Linked DNA regions of Oryzias latipes. The main gene of each other region encodes a partner of the protein of the gene in region 2 in a complex. Links are inferred from orthologs where the notes say so. Each region holds a gene or a part of one and is shown on either strand. Other genes may lie near its edges.

Region 1 (6,436 bases), on a different chromosome or scaffold from region 2:
GGAGCCACCCCCCACGCTGCCCGCCGGCCAGCAGCGCCAAGCCATTTTCACCCTGCTGCCCTTCATGGAGAGGGGGGTGGTGCTGACCTCCCAACCGCAGGGCGTTTACGGAAAGAGGTTCTGCCAGGGGCGGGTCTTTTGGACCGGGCCGCATGGCTGTGAAGCGGGTCTGCAGCGCATGGAGCGGAACACGGAGCCGGTGCTGCTCTTCAGTAAAGACATCTTCAGGCAGCGTGAGTCCCACTGTCCAATGGGGGGGAGGGGGGTTGGTGCTCATGTTTCTGTCTGCCTAACCCCCCCCTCCCTCCCGTCTGAGCAGAACTGGATCATTTCCGGACCAGCGGGGGCGAGCCCCCCCAGTGCAGCTTCACTCTGTGCTTTGGGGAGGAGCTGTCTCACACAGAGGACCCCAGCACCAAACTGATCACCGCCACGGTGAGGAGGTCCACTCAGACCCCCCCCCACACACACACACACACAGACAGAACCAGAACCATGCTGTTATTTCTGACCCATTTCACATTCTGTAGTATTTTTTAGATGAAGGGGTTGTCAGAACTGGCCTGCTTTTAGGCTCAGGTGTTGCTCCTGCTCCTCCTCCTCCTCCTCCTCCTCCTCCTCAGCATCCTCTCCATGTCTACACCTCCTCTGCAGGTTTCCATTCCCTGGGCGGAGGAGCAGGTCCAGAACGCCCTCTCCATCTTTCAGTCCATCTCCGTGCTCCAGACTCTGGCTAGTCAGTCTCCGCTGGGGGAGATCACCCTGAACCTGGTGTCGGTGCCGGCAGCAGCTCAGGAGCCACCAACATCTCCCTCCGTCTGACCGGGAGCGCCGCCGAGGGAGGGGGGGGACGAGCAACCAGAAGGTTTTGCTCTAAGGAGTTTTTGCACAAACATCTCCAGCACTTCTATTTCACCTTTACGCCAAGTTTGAACCTTCAACCCCAAAAATCAAGTGAACTGAAGGTTTTCAGATCAGGAAACACTAAGACTGAAGGAACGTTGTATACATGAACGTTCCTCAGAAGATGGAGGAAAAAAACAAGTTCAAACTTTTATTTTGGGATCTGGAGTGTGACTTCCTGCTTCCACATTCTCCTCAGAAGCTTAGAGCTTCACATTCCTGATGATCAGATGTTCTGGTCGGTAAATCCGTCCAATCGTCTTCTCTGTGAGATGAAGATGCTCACCGGACTTTCCTGAGTTTCATCCACGTGTTCCACTGCAAATGTTCGGGATTAAAGTCACGAACGTTCCCGTTTGAAATGTAAAGGCAGCAGAACTCATCCGTGGAGGAGGTGGATCCACGGAGGATCGAAGGTTTCCAAAGTGAAAAAGACGGATTGCAGCTTCATCACATCGTCTTCGTTTTCCAGCTGGAGCTGCAAACTCACCTGTCTGTGGAAGGGACACCTCCTGTTTGAAGGACAAGCTCTGTGCACGTGTGTGTGTGCACACGTTAACATGCACGTCTGTTTGTACGTCTATGTACAACTGCACGTGTGTGTACATATGCTTGAGTGAGTGCACGTTTACGTGTATTTGTTTGCACATATGTGTGCACGTTCATTTGTCTGTGAGTGTGTGCGCTTAACGTGTGCATGTCTATGTGCGTGTATATGTCTGGGTGTGTGCACATGTGTACTTGAATGTGTATCTGTGTGTGCGCAAATCTATGCGCAAGTGCACGTTTGTGTGTTTGCATATATGTGTGCACGTGTAGTTGTTTGTGTACGTCTGTGTGTTTGCACATTTTTGTGCGTGTATTTCTGTATGTGTGCGACCCTCTGTGTGTTTGTGCACATGCGCGTGTATTTGTCTTTGTGCGTGTGAAAAACCACAAGACAAGAGCTGCAGGGTTAAAAGTGACTTTAAGTTAGTTTGGTCGGGTGGGGGCGGGACTGGACCACAAGCAAACTCAGGAGAGGGGGGGGGTGGAAGACTGGGATGTACCAACAGGTCAGTCTGTGGCCCCCACACCTTTGAAAGAAAGATGTCCCTGCTTGGGAGGGGGTGGGTTGAACACAGAAATAATGGAGGCCCCCTCCGGGGCTAAATGTTCCCGTTGGGGGGCGAGGACAGCTCCGCAATCTTAGCGTTGAGTTTCTGATTGGTCCAGTCCTTTGTGATGTCATCCAAGTGGCTGTCAAAGTCCACCAATAGAGCGTGATCGCCCGCCTCCAGCATCTGGGAGGCGATCGCCCGAGTCTCCTCCCACTGTCGGAGCATGATCCTGGGGGGGGGGCAGCAGAGAGGCAGGGGTGAATGCAGGTTTCACGTGGTGTAGCGGCCAACACCGCCGCAGCACCAATGCTGGAATGTAAACAGCTGCAGGTATTGATCTGATCAGCGTCTCTAATGCACACTTCCTCCCAGAACCACCTAAACGGGTCAGAACTTTCTTAAATATATTATCACAGAGCTGCGTGAGGTTCAGTGTCTTATTCAAGAGCACATGTGGGGGTGTTTAGGGCGGGAATCAAACCTCTTCCTGTTTCAAACCTCTGTGCCACAGCCACCTTTTGTATGATTGTTCCATCCCATAGGACACATAGGTTGTTGTTTTTTCTTCAATAATAAAAGGGATTTTACTTTGAAAGAAACCTAAATTCCAACTTCAAGAAGATGTTCTTGAACGCAGCATAGTGACCCACAGTGTGGACCCTGAATGCAACACGAGGCTCTTCTTCAAGAAAAAGCCCAAGGCGACAGCCTGACCTTTCACCTTAGGAGTTAAACTACTGACTTATGGAACCTTTCAGAATAAAAGCATCTGTTTTCCATGTCAACTTTGAGCGTTTTTTAATTTTCATTGATTTACTCGAAGCTTTCGGCTCTCACAGCAGGTAACTGTCAAACATTTTGAACGTTGTGCGTGGGGGGCCAGCAGGCTCCACCTACTTTTATTTTTTGTGAGTTTATAGAAAAGAATTTAGGTGTGTTTTTTTTATATAATAGGTAGGTGGACCCAACAAAGCTCTACTTCCTGTTTTGGAAATGTTGAGGCTTCATGAAGCTTCGTTCACATGGCGATGCTTTCAATGAAGGCAAGGCAAGGCAAGTTTATTTGTATAGCACAATTCGTACACAAAGTAATTCAAGGTGCTTCACAAAACAGAAAAATGCATTAAAATCACAATACATCATAGAAATAATCAACATAAAATTTACTTTAAAAGAAAAAAAAAGATTTAAAAAGAAAGGAAGGAAAGAAAAGTGCAGATAGGACCTTTCAGTCATATACACGGCTAAACAGAAATGTTTTAAGTCTAGATTTGAACATGAACACAGAAGAGGCCTGTCTTATGACTTCAGGGAGGCTGTTCCAGATTTTAGCTGCAGAATATTGAAACGCTGATTCCCCTTGTTTAGTTCTGACTCTGGGAATCAACAGGAGGCCGGCCCCTGAGGTCCTCAGAGTACGAGATGGTTCATATGGCACTAACATGTCAGAGATGTACTTTGGTGCTCGGCCATGGAGAGACTTGTACACAAGCAGAGCTGCTTTGAAGTCTATTCTTTGAGGTACAGGGAGCCAGTGCAAAGACCTGAGCACAGGACTAATGTGATCATACTTCCTGGTTCTGGTCAGGACTCGAGCAGCAGCATTCTGGATGTAGTGAAGCTGTTTTACAGCTCGTTTGGAGAGGCCGGTGAGCAGGCCGTTACAGTAGTCTAACCTACTGGAGACAAATGCATGAATAAGTATCTCCAGGTCTCGCTTTGAGATTATGTTTTTGATTTTGGCAATGTTTTTCAGATGGTAAAATGCCGCTGATGTTACTGACTTGATATGGCTGTTAAAGTTCAGGTCAGAGTCCATGATTACCCCTAGATTTCTGACTTGATTTGAGGGTTTAAGAGACAGAGAATGAAGGTAGCTGCTGACAATTTCTCTTTGTTTCTGTGGGCCAAAAACAATAACTTCGGTCTTGTCTGAGTTTAGCTGGAGAAAGTTGTTCTGCATCCACGCACTGATCTGTTGGAGGCAGTGGCTGAGTGAATCCACTGGCCCATATTCACCTGCTGTCAGTGACACATAGATCTGAGTATCATCTGCATAGTTGTGATAAGATATGTTATTACTGCGTATTAACTGCCCTAGTGGCAGCATGTAGAGGTTGAACAGAAGGGGTCCCAGGATCGATCCCTGGGGCACACCACAAGTCAAGGCCATGTAGTCTGAGACACAACTCCCAATTTCAACAAAGTATTTCCTGTCTTCTAGATAAGACTTGAGCCAACTTAGGGCAGATCCAGAGATGCCAACCCAGTCTTGGAGTCTGTGCAAAAAGATCCCATGATCAACAGTATCAAAGGCAGCGCTCAGGTCTAGCAGGATTAAGACAGTGACTTTGCCATCATCAGTGTTCAGGCGGATGTCGTTGGTTACCTTGATAAGAGCAGTTTCTGTGCTATGATGGGGTCTAAAACCTGACTGGAAAACATCAAACGAATTGTTTAATAAGAGAAAATCAGTGAGCTGTTGGTAGACAACTTTTTCAAGGACTTTTCCTAAAAGTGGCAGATTAGAGATAGGTCTGTAATTATTCAGTACAGTGGGATCAAGACCGCTTTTCTTCATGAGAGGTTTAATGACTGCAGTTTTTAAGGCCTCTGGAAATATTCCAGATTGAAGAGACATGTTAACTATTTGAGTAATTGATGGCGACACACTGTTCAGGACAGACTTTAGAAATCTAGTGGGTAACACATCAAGGCAGCATGTAGACGAGCTCAGACGGGTGATGGTCTCTTGGACAGTTTGGTCAGTGACAGGTACAAAGTGAGTCAGCTTAGAGTGAGTAGGTGGCCGTTGGATAGTTATATGTGTTGTGGAGTTGATGGCTTTTTTAATGCCCTGAACCTTGTCATTAAAAAATACAGCAAACTCATTACATTTAGGTGTACAAACCAATTCTATTGGTAGCTGGGTTGGAGGGTTAGTTAATCTGTTTACTGTTGTGAACAGGATACGAGAGTTGCTGCTGCAACTTCCAATTATTTCAGAGAAGTACCTTTCCCTTGTTCTGCATAAGATCTGGTTGTAAGCGTACAACTCCGCCTTATATATTCCAATCTATGTAAACCCGCATGTCGGGCCCCCGGGTTCAAACCTATCACGCTTGTGTGTCTTCGTACAAAATTTTGCAAGTAAACCAGTTGAACTTTGACCAATCAGGGACTGGGATTCGGCAGTGACGTGTGGACGGCGTCCCCTCTAATTCACGGAAGTGAAAATTAATCATGGAGGAGAAATGAATAGTTGTGGTTTGGAATTCTAGGACACCAACCGCTTTGACATTTCACACCAAGACTCTCCTGACTGTAGGAGGGGGGGACATGCGCTAGTAAAAACAATAGAAGAAGAAGCCCCTCCCTGCTCCTGCAGTGTGAACACCATCAAGAACACGCGTCAAGTGGGAACGTAGCGTCACGATTGAGTAGAACCCGACTGTAGTAAAGTGGACAAAACAAACATCTGCCACTACATCTGACAACGTTTGGCCCCCCCCGGCCCTCCAGTCCACGCATGGGGTCCGCTTCGGCTGGAAACTGTCAGCGAGGAGGTTCTGGAAGGCTGAAGCCAAAGTAGAAACTCCTCAAAATGTGATTGGAGGCAGAACGAGCCACGCTGAGCTGGTTCAAACGGAAACGCCGCTTCCTCACCTCCTTCCATCTCTGAACACCCCCAGGAGAAGCTGCAGCAGTGCCGACGCGATGCTGCGACTGCGTTCTGTTAGCTTTCAAACCTCACCTCCCTGACACCTTCCTTATCCGGGCTGGGGACCGGCACAGGGGGACCCAGACTTGTGGCTACATAGTTGGGCAGTAGTGTGAAGGCCTTTAGATAAAGCTAAACGTCCTGCCTGGGAATCAAACCTAATCTCATGGATCTCTAATTGAATCCATAGAAAGGATTCATCAAATTGGTTTGAGAGCATCATTCTCCAAAATTCCTTCCTGCTCCTAGAAGCTGACAGAGAAGCAGACTTACATGTGTTTGTCCTTCAGGATCCACCTGGAGTCTTTGCGCTCGTACATCACGATGGGAGGAACCCGATAGTCCGGAGGCATCTTGCTGCCGTCCAGCTGTTGACGGAACCAGAGCAGACGGTCAGTCCTCTGCTCTGCTGCAAATGCACAGGCGGCGTTCTCTTACCATCAACAGAACGGCGCCGTCAAACTGCTCGGCGATCTTGTCCGAGATCTTCAGGGCGCACTGCGTCGGGCTGGTGGGGGTCAGAAACGGGAAGAAACCCAGTGATCTCCATGTTCTTCCAACCGCAACATTTCAATCCTGAAACTCACCTACTGTCTGATGCACAAGCATTTGCTTGGTAATATCCCACAATCCTCTGCTGCGTCTGGGAACACCAGGCGTCCACCTGAACGCAGAAGCAGAGCGGTTGTTTTGGTCAGACGGCTGACGTCAA
Region 2 (5,603 bases):
CTCAGGATGTGACCGATTGTTTCTATCGTTGCCTTATTTTTGATGAGCTGATTGCCCCCCCCCCCCCCACCCCCCCCCCACCCACCTGGCAGAGGCAGATCTCTTTACAAACGGATGACTTTTGTCATGCGGTTGATTTCACTCCATCTCTCCTTCCCCTCAGCTGTCATCACCATCTCACGCTTCACGTTCTTCAGCCACACAGCAGGAGGGATGTGTGGGACGCTCGCAGTCCGGGACGGGGCGTGTCATTCTCAGAAAAGGCCTTCTGCCGATTGGATGAGCTGCACTTCAGAACTGAGCCTCCCACAATGAGAGGATTTTCCTCGCAGTTGGAGGTGCTGACTAAAAACAGCCAGACTGGGTGATTGACAGGAGGAAGAGGAGTTGCAATGTTGACACAGGGATTTTAGGACATCCTGTTTCAGGGGGCCGTGCTGCTGTGAGACTGTGACCTCCCTGACTCATACTTAAAAATACAAACAGTGGAGGAAAAGTCCACATTAGCTGGAAATTTCGCGTTTCGTCTTGAAAATAAAAACCAAAGACATCAAAAATTAAAGCTGCAAGTGGCGCCACCCACACTCGCCATTATCCCCGCCACGCCCCCATTACCCCATTTGGTTTTACCTGCCCTAACTGGCTTCAGGCCCTTCTCTCTTCTGTCTCTGCTACCCTTGGTCAGAGCTGCATGTGACAAAAATTACTTTTCAAAAGGGCAGCTCTTTTGTTGGTTTTATCTCCATAGCAACCATTTAACTTTTTGGTCACCAGGGCGTGACGAACAGTCCTGTGCACGTTTTAGAAGAATCTGCAAAGTTAAACTGTTGGATTTCCTTGGCAACTGAGGTTTTTCTTTTAAATTAACCACAGCCACATATCTGATAGGTTCATATCGTATGTCATATCATTTTTTTTAGCTCGAGCCAACGACTCAGATTATTCATTCATCTTCCTCCGTTTTGTCTCTTTCAGGGTCACAGGGCTGCTGGAGCCTATCCCAGCCACTTGTGGGCGAAGGCGGGGGACACTCTGGATGGGTTGCCAGTCTGACGCAGGCTACTCATAGATTCAATTTTCACAACATTCCGGTAAAAAATGTGCGAGCAACAGGGGAACGCCACTTTTGGAAGCTCGCCATGCTAACGCCATTCAAAATATACAAGTTCTAATTCCAACGCTTTAGCTTCCCAATGATGCTTGAGGAAATTCAAGATGGAAGCCTCTTCCTGAGGTCAAAGGTCAATGAAATTTGGGTTGTGGCTGTAGACTTAGCCTGGCAGTGTGTGTGGGACATTTTGTGAAAATCACTCGAACTAATTTTCTTTTCCAGTTCGTCCAACAACGGTAAAATCGGCTAATTTCCCACTTTGCAACAGAATGGCCACCAAGCTGCAGGTCATGTGACCATCCCGTAGTAATTTCCAAACTTCCTTTCACTTAAAAGGTGCACCAAGGGAAAAGAATCGTGAAAATCTGGTCCTTTCAGTCCAGGACTGCTGCGCAACAAAATGAGGATCGTCTTGTAAACAGGAAATTAAAGGGGGTCTTCATAAATCAATGCATCACATGTGCATAAAAAGGTAAAGCCAGTAGAGAGACAACAGGACAAAAAACGGATTATTTACATTCCGATGGGATTTAGACCTTTTTGACCAATGTTTTGTTGTCAGCCGATCCTGCTGTTACTCCCAGTACTCGATCGATTATTTGGTTCACAGTTAATGCTCACTGAAGGATGAACTTTCACCAAGTTTAGTTGGTGAAAGTTTATCCTATAAAATGTGATATTTTTTGACACTTCTGAGCTACCCTAAAGCCCACCAACCTTTTTAAATAAGAGGGATGGTGGCCCTTATCCCAGTTTTTCACTGTAAGGATGATGTGAGTCAAGTTCATCTGTGTAATAAATACTTTATTCTCACATTAGTAGGAAAAATGAATGCAGTCCTTGATGAATCAGGTTTAAGTCGTGTTACAGACACTTATCGTTCTTAAATAACCTCACGTACAGAAATCAAAGCGCTTTGCCGTTCATTATATGTTTAAGAAAAAAAAGAAATGGGCCTGATCCTGATCATCGCCCGCCGCCGTTACCCCCGCCACCGCCTCCACCTCCAGATTGATCCTGAGCGCCAGACATCATCAGGAAGAGAACCAGAGGGACGATGTACATCCACTGTGGGTGGGAGGAGGGAAGAGAAGGAAGAAAGGTGAATACAACAGCATATTTGGTTTTTAGGATGAAGTGTGATCAATAGGTTTCTATAAGGAGTTCCTGATTCTGTTAAATCTAAAAGAGGACAAACGAGCAGACGAGGAAAAGCAGAATTAAGTTTTAGGGTCAAACCCAAACAAACACAAGACGTTTCTGAACTGATCGGAACCTCATCGAAAGAATTTTTACAATTTTATCATTTCATTCACCACCCTGAGATGTAATTAGCATTTGACCCAAAATACAACACCCCAATGAAAAAGAGTAAATCAAGCAGGGAGGCGTTAGTTATTCACACTGTAAAGAAGTTAGTCACAAACACTGAAGAAGGAGGAGGACAGGTGAGCCACAAGTAAGAAGACTGTACTTCAGTGGGTATCAGCTCTGCTCTCTGCCTCCCCCTGCTGGGGGCTGGGCCGAATTGGAGACCATGAGGAAGATAGCACCTCCCAGAATCAAATACCACTGCAACACACCACAGTATCAAGTCAACACAGCGACAGGGGACACGGCACGCGACCAAACAAGACAGAGAGGAGCTCAGCCGAGCCAAGAGAGGGGACACGGTCCATACGCCTCCAATGAAAACACAGGACCACACGACCGTGTCAAACAAAACTGAACGTTACAGCAGCTCTAAAGCAAGAAAATACCCTTCAGCGATAGTAGGCAGGGCTGAGATGAGGCAAAGGAAAAAAAAAAACCACCCAAAACTAAACTGCTGTTAAGTTATGGACACAGATGCTAAACTAGCATAAAAAAAAAAGAAAGACTTTATTTGCCTTGATGTCAACCAAATTGACTACACAAGAGGTTTGAAAGCATTGTTACAAAGACAAGTTAAAACAGAGGAGGTTAAAGCAACCATCTCTGTGGACATGAAGGTCAGACTGATGGCGATAAACTGCAGTCTTGAGGTGCAACACTTACATATTTAGCGAAGAACGACTTCTGCTCCTGTGGATTTTTGCCTTTCTTCTCAAACTCCTGCTCCATTCGCTGGATGAAGAGCGCCGTCTCAGGTCTGCGGGAAAGTTCTCATCAGTATTCAAAGAAGGAAAAGACTTGTTCCACAAGTCCTGATAAACGTGAGAAGACCAAAGACGTCAGGAAAACAGGACTCCCCCAAATATTTATACAGCTGAGCACTTCCAAAGGATCGTCTTCTGATCTATTTTCAAAGCATTCACGGTGGTCTTGTCATCATAATTTTAAACGTTTTTGAAATAAATTAATGACACGTTTTTAGCCAAAAACCAAAAACCTGTCATTTTCTAGGACAGTTTTCTGCAGTGGCAGGAGTCCATTAAAAATGTGGTAGGCAGAACTGTTGTCACGGGGTGAGCCTGCCCCTACTTACCATCATCCATCTCTCTAACTCTCATGCTATCTTAATAATCCATGCAACAACAGTGGAGAGCAATCCAGCCATACAGTTTGGGTCAAGATTCCAGCGCAGACGGGGAAAACAAAGACGTTTATGGACCCATTTGTCTGCAAGTGGATGCTTTAGAATGGAGCAAAATTAACACAAATAAACTCTTCATCACATGGCATTCGTTTGTCTGCTCCTGATTCCTTATATGAATAAAGAAATATGCAGGAATGCAGTTTTAAGCTTAATTGTCTTTATACATGTCCTCCATAATCAGGAAAATGCCATTAGAACATGTTAAAAACACCAAAACAAGATTTTCATCAGAGTCTGTCTTTGAAGAACGCTTTGAAAATAGATAAAATGATGATCAGACCTAATACAACAAAGAAGTGTTCATGTTATTGTAAAGGAAATTAAACTTGAATTTATCAAACATAAGGAGAAATGCTTGTTGAAAAACTTCTATTGAAATACATCTTTAAGGCAGCTGCTTTTGCTTGGTTTTGTACATTTAGGAATCTTGTGGCGTTTTGACTTTTCTGTTTCTAGCGCCACAATGATTTTAAACAGTTATTCTAGATAATGCTGCATTAGTTCATATGTGTGTCAAGACAAGCAGATAAGAGTGGTAGCTGTGGTCAAATATACAACCCTGAGCTTGTGGCAATACAGCAGATAGCATCGGCTCCAGAAAAAGACATTTTTTAATATAAATAAGAAAAGAAAAACTAAAAAAAAAGAAACCAGGACTGACCCTGGTGCGTTGACTGGAGCCATGATGCTGAGCGTGGTGTTGAAAACCTCAAGATCAACTTCGTCTTCCACCTCGATTCCCCTGCAGGCTCCAGGTAAAGTCACTATGGAAACGCCGATGAGGTATCCGGAGACGTCGGTGTGGAGCGTGATCACGTCACTCAGGTGGGACTCAACCATGGCACACTGAGGATCACAGAGGAGAAGCAGGCCAACCTTACCACGATGTAACCTCTGAAGTGTACCAGCTAGTTAAAGCTAAACATAAATTTCCTCTCTAGTTGTAGTTCAGCCTGAAAGGTGATGGCCTTCAGACAAACTTTCTCAGCTAAGCTTAGAACTTAAATCTACCAAAAATGATAAGAACTTTTTGATTTGAAGAATGAAAAAAAACTCATGGGATATTTCAAAAGATAGAGGAAAAAACATCAAGGTAATCACATATATCTAACTAAAACCTTTCAATCTCTTCCTCTACATTACAACAGCATTTTTGTAACTTTTAACCTCTTTCTAAAAGGCATTTTCTATGTGTATTTATTCTATTGTTTATCATTTAAACAGAAATATTTTTCCACAAAATAAATTGAAAACAAATACAATTGACTAATTTTCACAAATAGAATCAACAGAGACTTGCAACCCCTTTGGTTTTATAATAAAACAACCTGATCTGAATGTGGTATTTCCTGAAAACCTTTAAGATGAATCTGATCAAGAGTAGACCACGTACTGCTCTGACAAATGCTGTGAGGTGACCTTCACTCTGCCACTCGGTCTGTTTGTCTGCCTGCAGAAACACACGGGGAACTCGGATTCTGTAGAGGCCGTCGACTGCAGCCACTTCCTGAGGACACAAAACAAACCACAAGCTGTTGTCCAACGCCTTCGTATTGCAACACATTTTCTAAAGTCATATCTGTCTGCAGTAATGTTATTTTGCATGGATCTGTGGGGAGTGCTGTTATTACGATGACACTATTAGCTCACCTTCAGTTTGGTTCTGTCCTCCTCTGAGAGCTGGTTCTGATTTAAAGAGACACTTGGCTCCCGACCAGTTTTCAACATAAGTGATCCACGTAGCTGAAATTTTGCTACATCATCTAGGAGGGAGAAAACTCATTAGCATTAACGATTAACTCAGTCCATCAGTCTGGTTTTACATTAATTATTATTTTCTCTCTGTGCTTCCAAGATAACAAGACTTCCATCACTTTCAGTCTTTCGTTTTCACCAATAATCTGATCTCAGACT

The links.
Region 1: emc10 (region 2) and emc9 share a complex: the UniProt entries of both Homo sapiens proteins name them as parts of the ER membrane protein complex. The link is inferred for Oryzias latipes from reciprocal best matches to the Homo sapiens genes EMC10 and EMC9.

The regions. Positions count from the first base shown.
Region 1 is NC_019878.2:23,618,525-23,624,960, reverse strand, and holds the end of emc9 (ER membrane protein complex subunit 9), read right to left. Parts: intron 6,389-6,436; coding exon 6,312-6,388; intron 6,233-6,311; coding exon 6,163-6,232; intron 6,093-6,162; coding exon 5,998-6,092; intron 2,233-5,997; coding exon 2,052-2,232; 3' UTR 1,852-2,051; downstream 1-1,851. Other genes in the region: irf9 (interferon regulatory factor 9), read left to right, coding at 1-233, 320-435, 655-822. UniProt on the Homo sapiens protein: Part of the endoplasmic reticulum membrane protein complex (EMC) that enables the energy-independent insertion into endoplasmic reticulum membranes of newly synthesized membrane proteins.
Region 2 is NC_019866.2:3,433,301-3,438,903, forward strand, and holds the end of emc10 (ER membrane protein complex subunit 10), read right to left. Parts: intron 5,453-5,603; coding exon 5,340-5,452; intron 5,197-5,339; coding exon 5,083-5,196; intron 4,536-5,082; coding exon 4,351-4,535; intron 3,243-4,350; coding exon 3,149-3,242; intron 2,684-3,148; coding exon of another isoform or gene 2,597-2,683; exon of another isoform or gene 2,586-2,596; intron 2,180-2,585; coding exon 2,078-2,179; 3' UTR 1,895-2,077; downstream 1-1,894. UniProt on the Homo sapiens protein: Part of the endoplasmic reticulum membrane protein complex (EMC) that enables the energy-independent insertion into endoplasmic reticulum membranes of newly synthesized membrane proteins.